3 linked regions of the Alligator mississippiensis genome follow. The protein of the gene in region 2 binds, or shares a complex with, the protein of the main gene of each other region. Links are inferred from orthologs where the notes say so. Each region holds a gene or a part of one and is shown on either strand. Other genes may lie near its edges.

The links.
Region 1: the proteins of RPA1 (region 2) and RAD9A are in contact, whole or in part, in a crystal structure (PDB 8JZY), measured with the Homo sapiens proteins. The link is inferred for Alligator mississippiensis from reciprocal best matches to the Homo sapiens genes RPA1 and RAD9A. Residues at the interface, in NP_002936.1 of Homo sapiens: Asn29, Arg31, Ile33, Arg41, Arg43, Leu44, Leu45, Ser54, Ser55, Phe56, Met57, Asn85, Leu87, Lys88, Asp89, Arg91, Val93; in NP_004575.1 of Homo sapiens: Asp297, Phe298, Ala299, Asn300, Asp301, Asp302, Ile303, Asp304, Tyr306, Met307, Ile308, Met310.
Region 3: the proteins of RPA1 (region 2) and HELB are in contact, whole or in part, in a crystal structure (PDB 7XV1), measured with the Homo sapiens proteins. The link is inferred for Alligator mississippiensis from reciprocal best matches to the Homo sapiens genes RPA1 and HELB. Residues at the interface, in NP_002936.1 of Homo sapiens: Asn29, Ile30, Arg31, Ile33, Arg41, Arg43, Leu44, Leu45, Ser54, Ser55, Met57, Ala59, Thr60, Gln61, Arg81, Ile83, Asn85, Leu87, Arg91, Val93, Ile95, Met97, Glu120; in NP_001357214.1 of Homo sapiens: Glu496, Glu499, Val500, Lys502, Ala503, Cys504, Asp506, Phe507, Glu508, Asp510, Asn512, Ala513, Glu516, Trp517, Thr519.

The regions. Positions count from the first base shown.
Region 1 is NC_081825.1:176,214,489-176,218,232, reverse strand, and holds the start of RAD9A (cell cycle checkpoint control protein RAD9A), read right to left. Parts: upstream 2,998-3,744; 5' UTR 2,947-2,997; coding exon 2,865-2,946; intron 1-2,864. UniProt on the Homo sapiens protein: Component of the 9-1-1 cell-cycle checkpoint response complex that plays a major role in DNA repair. The 9-1-1 complex is recruited to DNA lesion upon damage by the RAD17-replication factor C (RFC) clamp loader complex.
Region 2 is NC_081837.1:560,762-564,505, reverse strand, and holds the start of RPA1 (replication protein A 70 kDa DNA-binding subunit), read right to left. Parts: upstream 2,646-3,744; 5' UTR 2,572-2,645; coding exon 2,539-2,571; intron 2,200-2,538; coding exon 2,152-2,199; intron 1,858-2,151; coding exon 1,779-1,857; intron 1,310-1,778; coding exon 1,201-1,309; intron 512-1,200; coding exon 423-511; intron 1-422. Other genes in the region: SMYD4 (SET and MYND domain-containing protein 4), read left to right, coding at 2,851-2,972, 3,047-3,191, 3,265-3,354, 3,440-3,744. UniProt on the Homo sapiens protein: As part of the heterotrimeric replication protein A complex (RPA/RP-A), binds and stabilizes single-stranded DNA intermediates that form during DNA replication or upon DNA stress.
Region 3 is NC_081827.1:67,692,893-67,696,636, reverse strand, and holds the start of HELB (DNA helicase B), read right to left. Parts: upstream 2,712-3,744; 5' UTR 2,697-2,711; coding exon 2,200-2,696; intron 1-2,199.

The sequences.
Region 1 (3,744 bases), on a different chromosome or scaffold from region 2:
CTGCTCATGCAGTCTTCAGACTAAGCCTCTTTTCCCCCCGAGGAGTGGTAGCATCTTGTACCAGTGAGAGCAAAGTGAGATGCTGAACAATGTCATTACATCCCAAGCCCTGCTGTTGTCTGATCCCGTATCTCATGGGAGGGGACTGTGCTGATGGGGTTAGGATAGGGCTGTCTTGGTGGAGACAGACTCTGTTCCACTAACCACATTGGCATGACATGGTCTATTATGAAGTCAAGCCAATGAGCCCTTCATTCTGTGTCCTGGGGCCTGGCAGTGGGGAGCACCTTTTTAATCACTTTGTGCTTTGCATAAAAGCTGCCCCTGACTTTGAGGATTTGCTCTGTAGCCCTCTCTCTGTCTGCCCCTTTCCCCACTTCATCTGAACCAAAAAAGTGATGAAAAGCCCACAAGCTTTAAGTAGAGAAATCAGAAACATGGATTTTGAATCCTACCTCTCCCTCCCTCATCCAAAGAGTTTATTCTAGGGCAGTGGGGATTACTTCCCTCACAGATAGTCAGATATTACTAGGCATGTAGGCATGCAACTCAGTTCTTGCAGAAAAGGACAACTTTAGGGAAATGTTACAAAGAGGCACCTAAGCTTTTTTCTTTTTCATTCATGTGTTCCTCTTTCTCTCTTTCTTCCCCACCTCCCCGGTACCTGTGTCTGGCACGCATCTATGCTGAAAGCTGGTGTCGTAGTGTCTGTAGTAGGGTAAGTCCCCAGGCTTCCAAATCAGGAAAATTTTCCTTGTCTGGGCTCAGTGTGGCATTGGGTCTGTAAAACTTTCCTGGTGGCATGTTGCATTGCACCATTCTTACCCACCAACTCCAACCAGTTTAAAAAAAGGCATCTTCTTGGATTGGGTATGAAACACACACAGTTTGAGGCAAGCATTCTGGGCTCACGTTTTGCCTGTTAGTGTTGCAAAGGGGAAAAAAAATCCCAATTTTAATCAGTCTGCAACCCACATTTCCCTACAGTCAGATAAAAAGCATCTACAAAAAATACAGGACGGAGAAATATGTGTATAAATGTGAATGTATTACATGCTTAAACTTGTGTTTATCTAAGAAGAAACACATAATTGCGTACAAAGACATTATATAGCGTACTGTAAAGATATCAGTATTTGCGCCAATCCTAAAGAAACTTAAACATATTACAGTCTTTGTACATGGTGCAATGTAGACTCCTTTAAATCTAATGTATGTGTGTCTGTACATATATATAGATGAATGATATTTAAATAAGTTGCACATTACAGCAGAGTTGCTGCTCAAGAAATAGTGGAAAGGTTGAACTATTCAACCTCTTAGGGTGAATTCTACCAAAGAAAAAATAGTTTTAGACATTTCAAACAAAAATATGGGGAGGCTGGAGTTTATTGAAACTATTATTGAAAAATTATGAGTTTTACCTTTTGGAAGTACCAAGAACTGTTAACCTAAGACAAGTTGGTTTGTAAGTGCCTTTGTTTTAAACAAAGCATCAAGAGAATGCTTGCAAAAATTAATACATTTCCCTTCCCAAAGTTCAAAGGACTGTAATAGTTTTCCATTTTCTATAAAGTGTAAATACTAGACACGTTTTAACAACAGAAGATAAAAAACATGGTTCACAAATGAAAATAATTTTAGGTTCACTTATTGTATTTCCTTCTACAGAACAAAAAACCCTTCCTGCTTTTCTTGTTTGAAAAAAATTTAAATATTTAGTAATGTGAGTAAACAGCATTTTGGGTTTTGTTTTATTTTTTGCTTTTTGCCATATCCCCAACATACCAGGTTTAATAACCCTTGATAGTTTATTTTAAATCTGAAGTTTATTTCCAAAGCTCTCATCTAACTAGAGGGACACCCAGAGCAAAGTTTGTCCTAATCAGATGAGGTTAATTGGAAACAAACTCATTTTTTAGCTGTTGTAATATACAAAAATAAATATTCATGTTTGTAGATCCTTGAAGCAAAAAGCCTCATGCATCTCTAGTAAGTCAGAATGCTAAGTCCCAACACAAGTGAGTTTTTACACAGATCTTGAAAATTCTTAAAAGCCCCTTACTAGAGCAGCTGAACAGAGAGGGGAACCGTCCCAGAATTTGGACATCAGAACTACTCAGTAGTGAAGTGAGTTTCGTATGTATTTTGCAAGCTGTGGAGTGGGATTTTTGCTGGAGTAAGAACTGCAGGATTGGGCCCATAGCTCTATACAGCTCTTGTGCACACAGTTAATAGAAGTATAGATGAAAAACAATGCAAAAATAGAATGATGCCTATGTACGTGTCTTCTGAACCCTTTGGACTTTTTCAAAAGCACTTAAATCTACATTGTGCCTATGTATGATATATACATACATACATACATAATATGTATGTATATACATATTACCTATAAATTTTTATGTATTACATGTAATAATTTCCTGGAGAGAGGGGTGCTATGTCTTTTTTAGAAGTTATTCACCTGTTTTAGGGAAGATTTTTTAAAATTTTTGCATTAAGAACTAACAACATTTTTACTACTAAATATTTTAAATTGGCAATGAGGAGTGAGTTTAAAAAAAAAAGGGTCAAGCAGATGGGAAATCTCTGCCTCCTTGTTCAACTTTTAAAGAAGTTGGAGCCTAATGCTGAGTCACAATATGCAATTGAAAGATCTTGTGTTGAAATGGGGCTGTGATGCCTTTTGCTGATTAATGAATCACAAATCTAACCCCCACAGCAGGAACAAGGCAAAAGTAAGAAAGAATGAATGAAAGAAGAAAACTTGTGAACTTTAGTAAAGAAGGAAGAATGGGAAATAACAAACCAATCCCCGAGAAAGGGCTCAACTTTCTTTTCACCAAAATGTTTGCACTCACCCCCTCCATCCCATTCTGGTGTCTGTCGCCTGGCGAAATGCTTAGCAGGGTTAGTCACCTGCCGATGACTAAACGTCTGCATGCTGCTTCCTTTCTCCCTTGTTTAGAGGCAACAACAACACAAAAATAAAAAACAAAAGCTCAACAATTGATTGTGTTTTGTTTCCCATGAAAGGGCAGCAGCAGAGGGAATAAAAAATAAACTAGCACTGCTTTTCCAAGTCCCGCGTCTGGCATTTGGGCTGGGGCAAGGGCAGGGGGCTGGCTTTGGGCTTGGATGTTTTTTCCCCCTTAGGGAAAAACTTTTTAAAAATCTGGAATGGGGAGGGCTGTACATGACAGCAAGAAGGGGAGAGACCGATCCAGCTTCTGTTCTTTCTTTCTATATCTATCTATCCTTTTTGTAACCATCAGTATATCTTTCTTCCTTTCTTTTCTACTCTATCTACATATTCTTCTGTTTTGTTTTTCCTATCTTTCTTTTCACCCGTCTGTACATTTCCATCTTCCCATCTGTCAATCTCTCCTTTCTTTCTTTCCATCTCTGTCTGTATCCTTCTTCCTTCCTCCTCACCCCCCTTGCTCCCCCCATGACACACCAGTGTTTCTAACACAGGGTGGCACCGCTTGCTTACCTCACCCCCTCTTACTAAAACTTTCTTTTGTGAAAAGAGAATAACCAATCTGCCTCTACCTCTCCTCCTCTCCCCCCTCCGTACCCCCCTCAGGGACTGGTGTTTCAGTTTGTGGTTAAAGCTTTACACGTCAGGAAAAAAAAAAGAGGGTTAAAGAATATCCTCACCAAAAAAAAAAAAAAAAAAAAAAAAAAAAAAAAAAAAAAAGCCAAACCCAAACCAAACCCTAAATGAGTGGGATTGGC
Region 2 (3,744 bases):
ACATCATGAAAATTCAAGACTTCCCCATACTAGATAGAGACAGAAACTGACTGTTTGGCCTTGGGTTTGTATATTAGAGAGAGACACTATACAAAAGTTCCACGTGCAGAAGAGACATTAAGGAACTGGAAATCACAGCTCTAGACAAGACAATTAGAGCCGTGCAACTTAGGCATACAGTAGCAGTATGTCTGAAAAGACCAGAGGTTTGCCTGCTCGGATGACACCAGGCCTCCCTTAATTTGGGGATGGTTTAGACAGCGACGATCCTCTTTGGAGGACAGAGTGGACAAGATGACCAGCCCTGTTTTTCTATCACTTGAAATTTGACTCCCCTTTTTCACTAAAGTACACAGCTGAAAGACCAGCACAGCAGTAAGTCTCTGAAACAACAAAATGCCTTTGTTTGCTAAGTTACCTACCTTCATTGTATGGCACTGGATCACCAATATTTCCACGAACCACATCAGCAGTTTGCAGAACATCTAACTCCATCAATATAACCACTCTCCTAAAAACAGAACAGATGGCAAGATACTCTACGGTTATCTGTCTTTGTCTGTCATAGGCTGCAAGTTTCTTTTTTGCATATATAAAGGCACTACAATCAGTACAGAATAGATTCCCTGGGGAAGGTAATGTCAGGAGGAAACAGCTTCATTACCCACCGGTTTACAACATTCAGTAAATGCAAGCAGAAATGGCGTGGGCTGAAACAAAACAACCTGAACAGTGCACATGAAACAGAGATGGGATAACGATTATTGCTATTTGCAAAGCCCTAAAAACGGTACCAGATTCCTTATATACTACCTGTCTCAAAAGTGCACACTAAATACAACTATGCATGCAATACAAAAGGCAACTTGAAGGAGAAGAGAAGGGTGGCAGTAAAAGTTACCAAGATTTTGCATGTGCCTGAATTGCGAATAATTCTGAAGTTTTTGTTATTTTGTCACAGACTGCAATGGGGCGTTGGGGGAGAAAGCAGTCCTTTAGGTATGTCAGGCCCAGACAAACTGGTTACAACCAGAACTCTGAATTGCTCCCAGAAAACTATAAGGGAGCCAGTGCCTACATTATGAGAACCCCCTGGATACACCTGTCCACTTCCCCCGGAACGAAGCGCTTGAGCTCCTCCCTTTCACCCGCTCCTTCAGCCAATTCTGTGAACACAAATATCGAAACAAACAAAAATACCTTCCATCTTTCAGGCTGTTAACAATGAATCTGTTCACCTGGCAGACACAGTGGGCAGACAAGCGCTCCTCTTCGACTAGAGAGTTCAGCTGTGTTGCCAACATGAAAGCTGCAAAAGAAAAGAAAAGAAAACCCCTCCGAAAGCTGCTAGCAAGGGACAGTACTAAAATGGCTAATTGCAACTTCTCTACTCCGACAAGTGGCGCTGAATAGACCTAAGGTGTGCACATTATCACGTCAGCCAGCAAGAGTCATTTCCTGGGCATAAGCTGCACGTCAGCCACCCAAAGCTGGAGAACGGACTACAGCGTTCAGGCAGCGATTAACGTAATCAGACACGTAACAGAATGGAAAATGATTCAACCGAGCTGCTAATTCCTCTCGGACCTCAGCGCGCGTAGAAGACTCTGCTAACGACGGAGCTGCTGCCCACGTTTTGGGTGGTCCGCGGCAAGACACCAGAACAAAATGACCGGCCCCAGAATCGAAAGGGACAGCCCGCACCACGCCCGTGACACCCCGGTGTCGGCTCTGCCGCGGAGGCAGAGGCACGTTCGCCCGCGCGGCGTCGCACTTACAGGACAGCGTGTTCACCCCGTCGCTCATCAGCACGCGGTAGCGCGGAGGGCCGCTGCCCGTGGCAATAGCACGCGTGTTCTGCAAGGGAAAGGCAGGGGTCCTCAGCCCTCAACCCACGCTACTTGTGACACACACGGCGAGGTGACACCTCGTCTGCAGACACGAATGGGGGGGGGGCTTTTTTTTGTGTGGCTTTGCCAGCAACTGAAACGCATTGTCGCAGGCCAGGTGCAAGGAGCTGTGCACAGGACATCTGCTCCCGGCCCAGCTTCCCCCGCCCGAGTCACGCCAGGGCGCAGGCCTGGCCCGCCCGCCCCCTGCCCACGGAGCTGCGGCGACCGGGAGCAGGAGGACGCTTGTGCGAATACTCACGATGACTTGCAGCACGGGCTTGGACACGGGCTCGCCCTGCATGATGGCCTGGAGAGGGACGAGAAGGAAGAAGGTCACACCTGGCGCCGCGGGGACAGGACCGCAGCTCCCTTCTCCCCTATGGCCTCCCGCGTCTCTCGGCCCGTCGCGAGCGGGTTTCCCTTCCCAGGGGCCGGGTGGGAAGGGCCCTCAGCAGGGCCGAGCGCCGGGGGTGGCTCGGCCCCCCGCACCCGGGGGCTGGGCGGGGCGTTACACGCGGGCCCCGGCCCAAGCGAGGGGCACCCGCCGGGCACGCGGCCCCTGGCCCGCCCCGGGGGACCCGCGCGCTCCTGCCCGTGAAAGACGAGCCGGCTCGGCCGCGAGGAGCGGGAAGCCCGCGCCCCTCACCGCAATCGCGCCCGCACTCAGGCGCGCGGCCATGGCGACAACAGCCCGCTCCTGCTCCTGCTCCCGCCGCGCCAAATCCCCCGCCCGCGTGACCGGAAGTGCCGCGCCGCTATTGGATGAGATGCCGGAAGTGCCTATGCCGTACGGCGGAAGTGCCGCGCCGCTATTAGCCGGGGTGCGACGGATGCCGGAAGTGCTAGTGCCGTACAGCGGAAGTGCCGCCCTCTATTAGCCGCGGTGCGGCGAGTGCCGGAAGTGCTGGTGCTGTACGCCGGAAGTACCGGTCCGCGGGCAGGCGGCCGCTGAGGGGACATGGCGCTGCCCGCGGAGCCGTGGCGGGTGCATGCGGCGCGGCGCTGGGAGACGCTGGGGCCCGCGTTGCGGGCTCAGCTGTCGGGCGCGGCCCCGCTGCGGTGCTGCTGGCGACTGCTGAGGTGGGCGGCGGGCCGGGGCTGGGGGCGGCGGCGCGGCCCTCCCTCTCCCCGTCCCCTGACGCGCTGTCCCGCAGGCCCGAGGACGAGGCGCTGCTGCGGGCGCTGTGCGGGCGGCGGGGCGCGGGCAAGGAGGCGGCGGCCGCCTGCTTCTACCGCCAGGCCGGCAACGCGCGCTTCCGCCGGGGCGACTTCGCGGCCGCCGCCGCGCTCTACTCCAAGGTAGGCCGCGCCGCCCTTTCCCTCCCCCCCTCCCGGCCCGGCCCGGCCCTGACCGCCGTCCCGCTGCCCGCAGGCCGTGTCGCACGCGGCGCCCGGCGGCCCCGAGCTGCCCCTGTGCTTCGCCAACCGCTCGGCCGCGCTCTTCCGTCTGCAGCACCCACAGGTGAGCCCGCGGCCGGGTGCGCGGGTGGGGCGGATGGTTGCGTGTTTTTTCCCCCCCCCCGTAAAGGCCTTTTTTTCTACCGCAGGCGTGCTTGGAAGACATCGAGAGAGCTCTGGGCCAGGGCTACCCCGCCGGGCTGCAACCCAAGGTCCTGCTCCGCAAAGCGGAGTGCCTGCTGCTGCTGGGGCGGTCGCGGGACGCGGCGCAGGCCCTCAGCGTGGCGGAGAGTCGGGTCGCCGGGGACGCGGGTCTGACGGGCGGTGCGCGCCGCGCCCTGCTGAGCCAGATCGAGCAGCTCCGAGCGCAAGCCCGCGAACGGGAGGGCGACCCGGCGCCGGTGTCCGCGGCGCTCGACGAGGCTCGGGAAGGCCGGGAGCCCCTGGAAGAGAA
Region 3 (3,744 bases), on a different chromosome or scaffold from region 2:
TTCTTAAGGAAAACACTAAATGTGTGCTTGGAAAAACAACCAGAGAGCTAACTCGGCATCCCCCAGGATACAGGATCCCTCAGCCTGTATTCAGGAATTAAACCAGAGTGACCTGCTGGCCAATTTTAAAGGACATCAGTGTGCAAACATCTAGTGCCAGAATCTTCCCAGGTGCTGACTCTTCCCACTTCAAAAAGGAACTTTTGGGCACACAAATAAACCTCTGAATCTCACCTAGATGCGGTTATATTCTTGTCTAACACCTGACTTTGAGTGAGACTCAGGGATTATAAGAGTTCAAACAAGGAGACAAATTCAACAAGTGCTGATAAACAAAGGGCGTGTCTACTTGAGACACTTACTGCACATTAGCCTGATAACACTGCAGTAGCGTGGCAGTTAAAAATTGTGCTAATAGCCTACTGCATAGTCTTATTAGGCTAAAGTGTCACAAAATAAGTGTGCGCTGGCACTACTGCGCAGCAACTCTAGATACTGGACATTTAGTACTTCATTAAACAAGTACTAAACTAAATGAGCAGTAATTAAGGCTCATTAATGAATGTGTAGACACACCCAAAGAATTTTACTCTGAGCACTACACTTAGACAAGGGTATAGGATCTGGCACCTAGCATGTTTTTAGTTTATTGCTTCTAAATTAATGCAAAACTTCCCCAAACATTTACTTCTCTGATAAAAAAATTAATTTCTCTACAAACTTTACCAGCGCTAGATTCATGGCTCTTTTTGTATACAACTGCAACAAAGCATAATTTGTAACTAGTTATAACTTTCAATTTTAAACATTAAAAAAAGTTTGGGCCCAGTTATTGCAGTATAATAGCTCATTAAATCAAATAGTACAACCTAGTCTGAGGTTTCAGATAATAAAGACTATGTATATGGAAGGAAACTATAATGGGCCAAGTCAATGCTAAGTGAAAGAAAACTGAGCCACTGCGCAGCACTTCACACCACAAAATGGCTGAACTGGCCCATGAATTGTTCTTTGCTCAAAGCAGAGACCACCTCCCCAACACCACCTGAGCGGCGAGCAGTACCAGAGCAGCCAGTGTGGAGATTGGCAGGAGAAGGGGGAGAAAGCCTATTTGATGCACAGAAAAACCAAGGGCACGTGCCCACAGAGAAATGGTTAGCCTCCCATGTTCTCAGAGGTACGAAGCTACAATTTCTTGGGACAATTTAAACCAGTAACAGGAACAGAAGTGGAGGTCAGCAGTTGACAAGGAGTGCTCCAGGGGCCACCAAGCAAAGCATATCACTGGGAAAACAGGGACAAGGAAACGGTGCAGTGTGGGATGCCTGCAGCACCACCCGGACACTATCACAGAAAGCGCGGTGTCTGCACCTAACACTGGGCCCAATCCCAGAGAACCGGTTACAAATAACACTGGATTTTCCAGGTACTTTTAAAAGATTGCAGGTGGTTTAAACTGTACTAAACCAGCTTTTATGTCTGGACGACCTCGGCTAAAACCGCACTGAAAATAGTTCAGGTGCTACAAGTGCCCACCCCCTAGGTGTTGATTTAGCCCCTGGCCAGCAGGCGGGATCTGGCCCGCAGGGGTCCCCAAGGGCCTGAAAATTTGGCAGTGGGGGACTGGGGGCAGCAATCACTGCTTCCCCCTGCTCCCAAATTTCCACTCGCTGCCTCCCAGGCGCTGGAACCAGCAGCCACATCCCAGCACAGTGGCATCCTGGAGCATCCCCAGGCGCCGGCCTTGCACCATGCTCCGGCACAGCTGATCCAGCCACTGGTGGGCAGAGATCAGGGCTCAGCGGTTCACTGGCGGAAGGGATAGTGCAGCCCCAGCCTCCACTGCCTGCCCTGAGCGCCAGCTGCAAGAGAACCAGCTGCAGGGGACACCCTGGGCGCTGCCAAGCCAGATCAGGCAGGGAGTGAATGCAGGGCTGAGCATCAGGAGGGGAAAGGCATAAGCTAGTAAATACGGTAAGTAAATACGGTAAATTGCCCTCCCCCCCACATCCACTCAGATTACAGGTGCTCAGGCGGTAAATTCCTTCTCTCCCCCCCCCGCAGGTCCACGCTGATTGGAGAGGAGACGCGAGGGTTCCACCCCACGCCATGACGTCACCTGCCCCCGCAAACCCGCTACACTTGAGGCGGGAGCGGCTAGTGCCTGCGTCGGCCCCTCCCCCCGGCCGCGGCGCTCACCTGCCCGCCGCGCCTGCCCGGCGCCCTCGCAGCTCAGTTCGGCGGGGCCCGTCAGGAGCGGCTCGTCCAGCAAAGCGTCCTCGTAGCCTTCCTCCTCCTCCTCCTCCTCCTCCTCCTCCTCCTCCTCCTCGTCGGGCCCCAGCCCCGGCTCGTCCTTGGGTGGCAGCAGCCGCCCCCACAGCTCGGGTCCTGGCCTGGCCCAGCGCTGCTCGCCCGCCCGCGCCATGCCCGCGCCCGGCCCGGCCCGGCCCACGTGTCCGGAAGGAGGCGCACGCCTCCGCTTCCCTCCCTGCGAGCGCGGAGCCTGCCCGGCGCGGCCCTGTGCTCCAGCTCCTGAGCTGCCCCGCCCCCAGGGAAGCGACTTCCTGTTTTGGCGGAGCGCGTTCCTCTGAGGCAGCCCCGGGCTCCCAGTGGCTGAGAAGGTGCTGCTGCCACGGCTGGGTCCGGTCTCTTCGCCCCACACCCGCACGGCGCCAGCTTGCGGCTGCATCGAGCATTCCCTCCTCGGCCAGGGGCCAGGTGGGAGTCGGGCTGTCACCCACTCGAGGCCACATGGGGCCCTGGGGCAGCAACCTCAGGCATGAATGCTGTGGGCCCCCCGCCCCGAGGCTGGGGGTCACGCAAGGCCGCACAGGCGGTGGCAGCAGAAGCATGGCTCCTGCAGGCAGCCACGGCGTAGGTGGGTGGCGAGCGCCGCCCAGCAGTTAGTGACCACCCACAGACGCTGCTGCGGCGATCACGGACCGCCTGCAGATGCTGCCGGCAGTGTCAGCAACGGGGGGTGGCAAACGGCAACCACCCGAGGGGCACCACCAGCAGTGTTGGCAGCGCCTTTTCACAGGGGGTGCACATGTACCCCCTACACATAGCCAGAGACCGAAGGTGCAAGATCAGGACCATCAGTGGACCCAGCCCATGGACAGATGGCACTGCCCATCCAGCTCACCCGCCAAAAATGTTGAGGGCTGCTGTGCTACAGGAATTCCAGGCCAAGTGCCATGCTCCTCGCTACATAGGGCAAAACCCCACACAGTCTATGGGGTAAAAATCCATCCCGACTCCAGATATGAGGATCAGTCTGACCCTGAGCAGAGGGACATACACCTCTGGCTTTGGTCCCAGCAGGAGTGTTGGCACACATCAGTCAAGGACCCTGCAAGCACCTACCCTGGAAATCTTCAACAGGAGACTAGACAGTCACCTTGCTGGGATCACCTGACCCCCAGTTCTTTCCTGCTTGGTGCAGGGGACTGGATCCTGATGATCTCCACCCCAGGTGCTGAGGGAATCGGCAGAGGTCATTGCGGGACTCCTGGCACTGCTCTACAAGCACTTAGGTGCTCTGGCGAGGTGCCAGAGGACTGGAAAAAAGGGCCAATGTAGTTCCCATCTTCAAAAAAGGGAGGAAAGAGGACCCAGGAAACTATAGGCCTGTTAGCCTTACCTCGGTCCTGGGGAAGCTCTTTGAGAAAATTATCCAGGAGCACATCTGCGAGGAACCAGCAGGGGAGATCATGCTTAGGGGGAACCAACATGGGTTCGCTA